Sus scrofa: one gene and its partners. The protein of the gene in region 3 purifies or fractionates together with the protein of the main gene of each other region. This does not show direct contact. Links are inferred from orthologs where the notes say so. Each region holds a gene or a part of one and is shown on either strand. Other genes may lie near its edges. The genes, in order: RIPK1, CASP8 and IKBKB.

Region 1 (3,747 bases), on a different chromosome or scaffold from region 3:
AATCTTTTCCACTGAAGTTAACTGAAACTTCACTAATGACCTTCAAAGGCACGACAGGTCTAGGTATCAAAATATTTATAGCTATATTCCATTTTGTTTCTCACTATACCTCAGTAAAGCTGGGGGGACATGTGAATTGTTAATAATAAATAATAACACCAAAACGCCAACAAAACTGATCTATGACCCTAACAGTCGGGAGAGTGGCTCCCGGGGGGCGGGGGCGGGGGGGACCAGGAGGCTCTAACTGACACGAGGTTCGAGGGATTGCGGGCAGCAGTGTCTTACTTGGTCAGGTTCCCTCTGCGATGCGCAAGAGAGCAGTTAGGCCCTGTGCACTTTTCTATGTAAACATTTTAAAAAGCGACTCCAAATACTCATAGTCACCTTTAAGTGGGAAGGAGTATTTTCTCCATTTTACAATGATGACCGTAGGTAATGAGTCTGACGGAAAATGCTGCCCATCGCTGCCCTCCTTTCCCTGCTGACAGTACTCTGATTTGACTCAAGTGTCCAAGGGTTCTTTGCTTATAACCCCTTGAGGCTTTGCCCCAGATAAACAAGAGCTCCGAGCAAGGAACATCCCAATGATAAGTAAGACAGAATGACAGGAAGCGTTCCAGCCAGCCTCCCCAGGTACCTTAGGACACTGCGGCCTAACGGTAAAGGCAGTAACTCCTGGAGTTGAATGATGCCTCTAACACGGCAGAGTCTTTCCTCTCTCCACTCAAACTTCCGCTAACACATACATGCTTCTTCTCTAGGGAGCAAACCATAACCTTTGTTAAAATCACGTGCAAGAACCTCATCTCACAAACTTGCTCACCCCTGAGAAACACACACATCAAAGTGTGTGGTTCCAGATCAGCTTTCTGCAGGTTATAACACGATCATTTTTGCCGGAGAATAACATCCAACCAGAGCGTGGGAAGCTTTGTGTTTTTTCAAATTCCCCGATCACACTGGCCGTATCAACAGTGTCGCGGATTAATAAGCCCCAATCGGAAATTGGCGATTTCCGAACTCGATGTTTAGGGACTTTTTCTTCACTCTCCCGGATGTCCCCAATCCTCCAAGTACAACGTGCCGCAGAGGAAAATGGAGACAAGTTAAAAGCGTTACTGCTGCCTCGTCAGTGATAACTAATGACGCTGCCGCTGTACCCCATCATTTTATTTTGAACGAACTCAGTCTTCACCTTTACTGTCTGGAAGAGCTGCCCTTCCCCGCACGTATAACTGACCACGACTGTCTCCCTTTCTTTTGCACCTACCTGATGGTTACAAAATGCAGATCAAGCACGAAGTCACTCTACAGGGCCAAGTTCACTCCTGCCTTGATTTCTCCGAGTGTAAAACTTGGGGTAAGAACAGTGGTCTAAAGACCGAAGAACTTCGGCAAAGTTGGTTGAGTGCAAAGGCTTCAGGCTTTGTCCAAGATACACAAGAGCTCTGAGCAAGGAGCTGCCAAACGATCAGCAACAGGCCGAGACAACCAACCACCACGCCTCCGGCGGGGTTTTGTCCACGGCTCAGGGAAGAAGAACTTAGCTCGCCCTCTTCAAAAACTCCGACGAGGTCGTGGAGCGCTTGGTAAGAGCAAACGCCACTGGCCACGGACGAGGCCTCCTGGGGTTACGACATCCTGCCCCTTCGTCGCTGTGGACCCTTCTCTCCCACTTGCCGGCTCCCGGCCGAGGCTACGCGGAAACGCCCCCGTCCCGCGAGCCGCGGCGGCCCCAGGCCCCAGGCGAAGGTCCTTCCGAAGGGCGGTAAGGAGGCCGGGCTCAATGACACCGCCGTGAAACCCCACCTCCCCCACCAGCTCGACAGCGGGAACGGCGTCGGTTGGTTCCAACATCACAGGGGAGGCAGGGCTCCGCCCTCGGACCGCCAGACCGAAACCACCCGCCAGCGGGGAGCCGCCGCGCTGCGGCCAGGTAACCGGCCCGCGCCCGACTTCCGGGAACGCCTGGGCCACGCCCACCCCGCGCGGACCGCCGGCCGACTTCCGGGAAGGCCTGGGCCACGCCCACCGCCAGACCCCGGGAGCGCCGCGGGCCGCGCCCAGCACCCGTCGCCGGACCCGCGTCCCTGGTCCGACCCGCGGAGAACCCCGCCGCCCGGAACGAGGTCGCGGGCCACGCCCACAGCCTGACTTCCGGGAACGCCGACGGCCACGCTCACCACCTGACCGGCCCGCCGCCCCGTCCGTCCGGAACGCGGTCGCCCGCCCGCCGCCCGCGCGCCGGAAGCGGGAGCCCCGCCCTGGGCGGAAGCCGTTCGGGGAACCTGACCGCGGTCCGGGTTCCCAGCGCAGACCCACCGAAGGATTCGCTTTCGCTTCCGCGGGCAGCTTCCCGAGGCCGAGGCGGGGGCCGGGGCCGGGTGGAGGACGAGGCGGCGGGGGCAGTCCAGGATTGCCCCGACGCCCGGCAGCGTCGCCGGCGCGGAGCCTGACGAGGGTCGCCGCGGGCTGAGCCGTCGGCTGCGACACCGGCGGGGCGGCCCCGCGCTCCCCGCCCCCGGCTGCGCGAGCCCGCCGTCCGCCGCCTGCTGCCCCGTGGGTCGGCGCGCTCCGGCCCTCGCGGAGTGGGCCCGCCGGGACCGGCGCTCCAGAAAGCCGATCCGGTGTCCCCGTCGCCTGCGCGCCGACTGAGTGAGCTCGGCCGGAGGAGGGCGTGGACTGCTCGCTCCGCCTTCTGCCCCTGCCCCTGCCCCGGAGGAGGGCGAGCCGAGCGCCCGCCCCGCCGCCGGCCGGGCCTCCTGGACAGCTTTCGGAACCTGGAGTGCGCCCAGCCAGATGTCGCGGCTTTGCTGCGTTTCAGAGCGAGTCCGGAGGCCCGGAGAGGAAGTGCGCGGAGTCTTAGAAACCACTCTTAGAAACCTCCCAGGTGGGGCATGCAGCCCCAGGGGAGTTCTCAGCTCCGCGGGTCAGCGGCGCTGGAACTATAGGCAATTATCATGCTCTCATCTCCCTCACCTGTACAGCGAGGATAATAAAATCTACTCTGGATTTTAGAGTAGAAGAGCAAGGTATTTATTTTGCAGTCTTTTGCAATGATAATTGGGAAGTCTCAAGCAAAATGGGAAATACTTGCTCTAGTGTTACGTTAAAAAGCTTATACACAGCGTGATAACATACTGTAAAACGGTACATACATCAAGAGAATGAGATGCCACAAACTAAGAAAAAGCACATATATTAAAACAGTATTACCCAAAATGAAGTAAAAACCTAAGAAAAGGAACATCGCAGTAAGAAAATGGGCAAAAGATCTGAACAGTCACTTTACCATATAGATGGCATGTGAAAAGATGGTCAATATTAGAAGTCACTAGGAAATTATGAATTTCTTCTTATTCATTTATTTATTTTGGCTGCACTCAAGCAGCATGTGGAAGTTCCTGGGCCTGGGATAGACCCCATGTCATTAAAGCAACCTGAGCCACTGCAGTCACAATGCTGGGCTCTTAACCTGCTGTGCCACGAGAGAACTCCAGAAACTGTGATTTTAAACAGCAATGAGATACCAGTACATCCTATTGACTTAAAATAGACTGCCAACTATTTCTCAAAAAAAAGGTTTATTCATGATCCACAAAGGATTGCATTTCAGGGTCTGCAACTGTAGGAAGCTGTGTGCAAAGCCCCAGCAAAAATGGAGAGGAGGACACTTTTATGGGGACAGAGGAAGTTAGGAGGGCTATAGTTTAAAAAAAAAAAAAGATGCAAATCAAAACTACC
Region 2 (3,647 bases), on a different chromosome or scaffold from region 3:
GTTGGGTTCTTAACCCACTGAGCCACAACAGGAACTCCCGTGTTGGTATTATTCATTCTCCTTTCTTCTCAAAGCAGAGGACATCTATGCCAGGGACTAGGATATATTTCTAATTGGGCAGGAGTTGCTGGACATATGGGTGTCCTCATGCTGTCTCTGAGCTGCCACTTTGTGACCTTGTGATCCCCCTGGCTCTCTGCTCAACTCATCCAGGTTTCTGGGCTAACAGCTGAGGGCCTGCCCGTCACACAACATGGCCCCAGGATTTTTAAAGCTGACGGCTTAATCCACTTCTGAGGATCACAGGGACAGGAGGATAGAGATGTGCCAGTCGCAGGTCTTGGCTGTGCTACAGGTTATAGTATCTAGACTCCAGCACTTGACAGTATCAGTCAGAGGAGAGGCGGTGACCTCCTAACTTTTCCAGGGCTGTTTCAGTGCTAAACTAAGGTAGTTAACATTTATTGGGAAATCCGTGCAGTTTCTGGAGGCAGAGAAAAGGGCCCCAGGCTAGGGGGCCAAATTCCTGGCTCTACTATTTAATAACCTTAAGACTTTGGACAAGTTACATGATCTCTCTTGCACTCGGTAGCATTAGCTGATGGATGGGCAAGACGCTTGCAGAGTGCTTCACTGTTCACCAAGTGCCGCGTGACTTTGGTTAATTCTTGATGTTCAGACTGAGAGAGGTCTGGTAATTTGCTCAGGAGCCCGCTAATAAATGGTCTCTCTCGGAGTTCCCGTCGTGGCGCAGTGGTTAACGAATCCGACCAGGAACCATGAGGTTGCGGGTTCGGTCCCTGCCCTTGCTCAGTGGGTTAACGATCCGGCGTTGCTGTGAGCTGTGGTGTAGGTCGCAGACGCGGCTCGGATCCCGCGTTGCTGTGGCTCTGGCGTAGGCCGGTGGTCCGATTCAACCCCTAGCCTGGGAACCTCCATATGCCGTGGAATCGGCCCAAGAAATAGCAACAACAACAACAACAACAACAACAAAAAAGACAAAAAAATAAATAAATAAATAAATAAATGGTCTCTCTCAAGCTTAATTAGAAGTCTCCCACTACAGGGAGTTCCCATCGTGGCTCAGTGGTCAACGAATCCAACTAGGAACCATGAGATTGCAGGTTCGATCCCTGGCCTTGCTCAGTGGGTTAAGGATCCAGCGTTGCCGTGAGCTGTGGTGTAGGTCGCAGACTCGGCTCGGATCCCGTGTTGCTGTGGCTTCAGCGTAGGTTGGCTACAGCTCCGATTGGGTCCCTAGCCTGGAACTTTCATATGCCAAGGGAGTGGCCCTAGAAAAGGCAAAAAGGCAAAAAAAAAAAAAAAGAAAGAAAGAAAAAAAAAAGTCTCCCACTAGACTTCTAGCATATAGGGTTTCCTCTGCTTCCCGCCACAGAGAGAAGTGAATGGACTGGTGAGTCAGGATGCGGTCAATTGTTGAAGGCTGTAGAAACAGAAGTGATTATATCTGGAAAGGCAATTCTTGGGCCAGCTCACCCGGATGAGAACATAGAGACACTTGGATCATGAGCATTTTGCTGCTTACACCTAATCACGAAGGAGAATCAGTTTTTAAATGCCAAGCTAAAAAAAAAAAAAAAAAAAAAAAAAAAAAAAAAAAAGACAACTTTTTTCCAATCCTGCTCATCTTTCCCCCCAAAGCTCTCTGCCCTTGAGGCTGATGCAGCTGCCGAAAGACGAGGTTAGAGGCTCCCTACCCCTCTGTCCTCCAACTATTCCAATAGAAATAGAAACTTAATACACAGGAAACCAAAGAGCTGTTCAGTTTTATCTGGAAGCTAAAAATGCTCAGGAATCCGATAAATAGTATCTGCAGCGCAAAGGGAAAAGGCGACGGGAAGATACCTCTGAATCACTGTCCTGTTCTCCCAGACAGTCCGACATGGCCAGCTCTCCCAGGGACCCCTCCTGGATCACCAGTTGAGACATATCTGGAAAGAGACACGGCAGGGAAGTTCCTTTGGTAAGGAGGGACATGGCACTCGGGACAACGTAAGGTCCCTTTTGATAGGGATGGAGTAGACACGGGTAGTTATAGAAGTCCCAATAAAGAATCATAGATAGAGAGGGAAATCTAGGGGACACTGGGAGATCACCGAGAGTTAATAAATTGCTCAAAAAAGCCATCAGAGCAAGGCAGGCTTGCTCGGCTCGTGGAAGGAAGTTCAGAATTGCCTCAGGTCATTGGGTGGGGGATGGAAGGAGACCTTCGTTCAGATTCAGACCAAGACAGGAATTTGAGGACCGCCCTTCTGCTGATTTGAATACACACCTTACAGGATACCAAGGAGGAGCTGCTACTCCCCAAAAGGAAGAGGTGGGCTTTTCCAACCCCCACTCCCCTTGGATGATAAAACTGTAGCCTACCTAATCCTCCGGGAAGACCCTCTTGCCCGCCTGCTTGCATCTCTCACAAGCGTTCCGTCCTAATCAATCTATTTCTTGCCTATCCCTTTGTCTCTCGCTGAATTCCTTCTGCGAGGAGGCATAAAGACCCTGAACCTCCACAAGTCCAGACATCAGGTGAGTGCTCATTTAAAAACGTGGGTTCAAGTCTCCATCTGGGTTTAGGCCAGGTTCAAGTCCTGGCATATGGGTTCAAGTCCCAGTCTGTGGTCTGGCTAGGTTCCAGCCGTTAGTGCTGTCCGTTTCATTTTGAAAGTGAGAATTCACAAACCGCCTTAAATATAATATCCATGCAGTCCACAGAGTAAGTGAAAATCTTATCACTGACCAACTGCCCTCATTTCAAACTTGGGGCTGCAGGGCCTCTGTCTTTTGACAGCTTCGACATCTACCAACCTGCAGAGAAAGTGTCAACGTAGCCACTGCTATTAGCAGAGCAGGTCTCTTGGGTCTATGAAGCTCTCAGGGGGTAAATTAAACTAAAGAAACCTGGAAAACATCTCCAAGCATTACCATTTGAAAATTCATCCGAAGCACTTTCAAGGCTCATTCTTCGATCTGAAGTTTAAAAGCAAACAAACAAACAAACATTTGATTTGAAACAGCTGTGACATAGAGGGCTCAATCAATTTATGACTACCATTTGCTGATTCACAGCTCTTAGGTTTTTTTTTTTTTTTTCTTCTTTTAAGGGCTGCACCGCCAGTGTACGGAAGTGCCCACGCTCGGAACTGTAGAGCTGCAGCTGCCGGCCTACGTCACAGCCACAACTACGCCAGATCCGAGCTGTATCTGTGATCTATGCTGCAGCTTGCAGGAATGCCAGATCCTTAACACACTGAGTGAGGCCAGGGATTGAACCCGCATCCTCATGGATACTAGTCAGGTTCCTAACCTACTGAGCCACAACAGGAACTCCACCGTCAGGTTATTTTTACCTTTGTTTAATTCTTCATAATCACAGATTTTCTTCAGCAGGGCCTTGTTGATTTGTTCACAGATTCTTTTCAGAGTCTCCAAATTTCTTTCCCCTAGGATGGCCCTCTTCTCCATCTCTATAAACATATCAAGCAAGGTCTAGAGGGAGGAGATATAAAGTTGGAAAACTGGATGGAACCATATTGGCTTTTATTTATTTATTTATTTATTTATTGTCTTTTTTTTGCGGCATATGAAGTCCCCAGGCTAGGGGTCGAATTGGATCTGTAGCCGCAGGCCTA
Region 3 (3,747 bases):
TAGGGGCTGAGCCAGAGCTGCAGCTGCCAGCCTATGTCACAGCCACAGCAACTTGGGATGTGAGCCACGTCTGCGACCTACACCACAGCTCACAGCAATGCAGATCCTTAACCCACTGAGTGAGGCCAGGGATTAAACCTGCATCCTCATGGATACTAGTCATGTTTGTAACCCACTGAGCCACTACCAGAACTCCCTTGATAGAAATTTTTTTGAAGGAAGCCAAGATGTATCTAGTCCAGCTGTAGTGAGACCTTTGCTGTAGTCAAGACTCTAAAAGCCCCAGCCTGTGTGCAAGCAGCCCAGCCCAGGTCTGTGTGGGGCAGTGGAAGGATCTGGCTCTCCTGTGGTGAGCTAGGCCTCTGGTTGCCCAGCCAACCACAGGGTTTGCTGGGGTCAGAGTTTCCCAGGCGAGTGTGAGAATTACTGCCTGCCCACCTGACCTCTGCCCTCCAGCTCTGGCCCCCACATTCCTCCAGGGACTGTTCCATCTGCTCAGAGCTGACAGGATACAGTGCAGGGCCTCAAATGTCTTCCAACTGATAGAGAGGGTGGTCTGAAATGCCCCCCCCCCCCGCCGCCGCCCCACCGTGGCTGCCCAGTGGCCTGAATGACCCTCCCTGTGGTAGGAAACCTGCCATCTCTTCAGTCCAGAGATGTGCTTGCCGACCTTGTTTAAAAAGAAGGCGCCCTCCCTCAGGGGCTTTGGGGTTCTGAACTTGGAGTCAAGAAGCTAATTTTAGCTATTTGGTGGGTGATGGCTACCTTCGAGCCAATATACAATACTGGAATCCAAAAAAATTCAGAGGAAATTAAGTCTTCCTGATACTAAGTGTACAGCACCCTCCTCGGATCACCTGTCTCCTCTGACACTCGAGGTACCCCAATGAAAAAGGGCATTCCATGGGCAAGGGGTGGACAGAGGCATGCGGGGACATGGGGCAGGTTCTGTGTGCCCCACTGAGGTAGATTTATAAATGATATTATGCAATTTTTTTTTTTTTTTGGTCTTTTTGCCATTTCTTGGGCTGCTCCTGTGGCATATGGAGGTTTCCAGGCTAGGGGTCAAATCAGAGCTGTAGCCGCCAGCCTACGCCAGAGCCACAGCAACGGGGGATCCGAGCCGAGTCTGCAATCACAGCTCACGGCAATGCCAGATCCTTAACCCACTGAGCAAGGCCAGGGATCGAACCCGCAACCTCATGGTTCCTAGTTGGATTCGTTAACCACTGAGCCATGACGGGAACTCTGATGTTATGCAATTTTAATAACATAACTCATAAGATGGATGAGCAGCTTGGAGATCCCTGTGGAGAATGTCAGTGCATATAACACCAAAGTGAATGGGAATATGGAATAATTAACACTGTGGTGTGAGAAACTCACGGCAGACACATAAGGAATAAAATCAGTGAGGCTCTGGAGTTCCCACTGTGGTGCAGTGGGTTAAGTCGCTGCAGAGACACCAGCTGGGGCAGTGGGTTAAAGGAGCCAGTGTTGCCACGGCCTCGGCTCAGATTCAGTCCTTGGCCCAGGAACTTCTATATGCCGCAGGTGCAACCAAAACAAACAAACCAAACAAACCAAAACCCAGTGAGGATCTCCCAGACTAAAGAAAATCGGTCCAAATGATTTAAAATTGTAAGAACTATTTGAAATGAAGATGTTCATCCATCATCCTTAGCAATAATTCTCACTTTTGTGTGTATCCATATAATTCATGTTGAAGTATGGCAAACAACACTGGGAAGACACCATAATTGGTAGATATTTAAAATATTTTTCAAATTAATTTTTTTTCTTTTTTGGCCGCTCTGTGGCACACGGAGTTCCCCGACCAGTGATCAGATCTGAGCTGTAGTTGCAAACTAAGCTGCAGCTGCAGCAATGCCAAAGCCTTAACCCACTGTCCCAGGCCTGGCATTGAACCTGCATCCTAGCGCTCCCAAAACACCGCCAAAACTGTTGCACCACAGCAGGAACTCCTCAAATTAATTTTTAAAACATAAATAATAAACATTTAGAAATGTTTTATTATTTTCACCCTTTAGATCTTTCTATATTTTGGTAGCTTTCATAATGTGATATATATATTGTGTATATTAGTAGGTGATAGTTTAATGTTAGCATAGCTACGTAATTTTAAATACATAGAATTGAAGCTGAAAGCTTACTTTTTTTTAGGGCTGCACCTGCAGCATATGGAAGTTCCGTGCTAGGGGTTCAATTGGAGCTGCAGCTACTGGACACAGCCACAGCAACTCAGGATCCGAGCACATCTGCAACCTGCACTACAGCTCACAGCAATGTGGAATCCTTAACCCCCTGGGCAAGGCCAGGGATCAAACCTGAGTCCTCATAGATACTAGGCTGGTTCGTTACCACTGAGCCACAAGAGGAACTTTGAAAATTTACTTTGCTTTATTTTTTTAACTATTTATTTAGGTGGCATAGTCAATAAAGCTTGGAGATCCTGAACCTAGAGTCAGGTCAGGAGCCCTTGACGCCCCCTGCCCAGGCTCCTTCTCTCATGAAGTCCATGGCCAAGGCAAGCCCCATTCCCAAGGAGCAGAGGCAGGGAGCAGAAGTCTGCCCCCACAACCCCCCAAACCTGCCACCCCGGCTCTTCCCAGCAGCACAGGGCCTACCTGATTGTGCCATCGGATGACGTTCCCAAATCCCCCTGTCCCAAGCCGTTCTTTCATTTCCCAGGCCCCACATGTTTGGGTTGTCAGGGAAGGTGACCAGCTCATACTGATGTCCTGCTAACTCTGTAAGCAATTCGGGGCGGGGGACAAAAAGTGATGGTTAAGAAAAAAATGGAACTCAAGGGCATGGACAAAGTAAGAGATACCATGGTCCTTCCATGTGAAAGAGAAAAATCGGAACTGGTTTTTATCTTGTAAATAAACCAGGCCGTTTGGTTTTGGTTTTAGTAGGAAACTCCTGTCTTCCCCCCCACCCCCAACCTCCCGCCCCCCCTCAAGCTGCATGGAAGCAGAAGGGAGGAGAGGCCCTCAAACTACAAGACCTGAAAGGGGATCCCAAGCCGGACCCCGGCCGGGCGCCCTGCCCTGGTGGCTGGGACGCCTCCCCTTCAGCTCCCCGCGGTCTTGCGTCACCGCGGCGTGGACGAATCACGGCCCCGGCCCGGGCTCCCACCTCGCTGCCACCACCCGGCGCCACCCCGCCAGGGCCGGGCTCGGGGGGCCTTCAGCTCCCACCCCCAACAGGAACTCGCCGACTCAGGCCCCACGAGAACATCTCCGGGGGCCTCGGAGAGATGGGGTGCTAACTCGCCCGGCAGGTGACACCGGCCGCCCGCCCGAGGGACTCACCTGGCGGCGGGACGCGGGCGGGGGCGCGGGTGGGGGCGCCACCCCAAAGACATTGAAGTGCGGGAACCTCCAACCCACCCGCTGAGCGCCACTTCCTCAAACACTTCCTGCTCTGACGTCACGGAGCACGTGGCGCGCGGCCCAGGCCACGCCCATCCCCGCCCCCGCTCCGCCCGCCCGGCTGGGGACCAGCCCTAAAACCCATCGTAAAAGGCGGGAGTTTCCTTTAGAAGTACAGCTTGGACCTGAGCGGTTCCTGGGACCGGGTAGATGGGGATTTCCTCACCCAGCCCTTCTGGGGTCAGCCTGACCTGCTTCCTAGACTTATTATGGGGGGAATTTCCCAGCCCCCGCCGGGATTGATTTAGGGACAGTTTACAAGAATTGCCGTGGCAGTCTGTCCTGGGGG

The links.
Region 1: the proteins of IKBKB (region 3) and RIPK1 fractionate together in Homo sapiens (co-fractionation; 3 studies listed by BioGRID, with this or other methods). This does not show direct contact. The link is inferred for Sus scrofa from reciprocal best matches to the Homo sapiens genes IKBKB and RIPK1.
Region 2: the proteins of IKBKB (region 3) and CASP8 purify together in Homo sapiens (affinity purification with western blotting; 3 studies listed by BioGRID and IntAct, with this or other methods). This does not show direct contact. The link is inferred for Sus scrofa from reciprocal best matches to the Homo sapiens genes IKBKB and CASP8.

The regions. Positions count from the first base shown.
Region 1 is NC_010449.5:1,840,073-1,843,819, reverse strand, and holds the start of RIPK1 (receptor-interacting serine/threonine-protein kinase 1), read right to left. Parts: upstream 2,678-3,747; 5' UTR 1,274-2,677; intron 761-1,273; 5' UTR 641-760; intron 1-640. UniProt on the Homo sapiens protein: Serine-threonine kinase which is a key regulator of TNF-mediated apoptosis, necroptosis and inflammatory pathways.
Region 2 is NC_010457.5:104,936,263-104,939,909, reverse strand, and holds part of CASP8 (caspase-8), read right to left. Parts: intron 3,505-3,647; coding exon 3,366-3,504; intron 2,986-3,365; coding exon 2,941-2,985; intron 1,953-2,940; coding exon 1,867-1,952; intron 1-1,866. UniProt on the Homo sapiens protein: Thiol protease that plays a key role in programmed cell death by acting as a molecular switch for apoptosis, necroptosis and pyroptosis, and is required to prevent tissue damage during embryonic development and adulthood.
Region 3 is NC_010459.5:11,289,340-11,293,086, reverse strand, and holds the start of IKBKB (inhibitor of nuclear factor kappa-B kinase subunit beta), read right to left. Parts: upstream 2,754-3,747; coding exon 2,649-2,753; intron 1-2,648.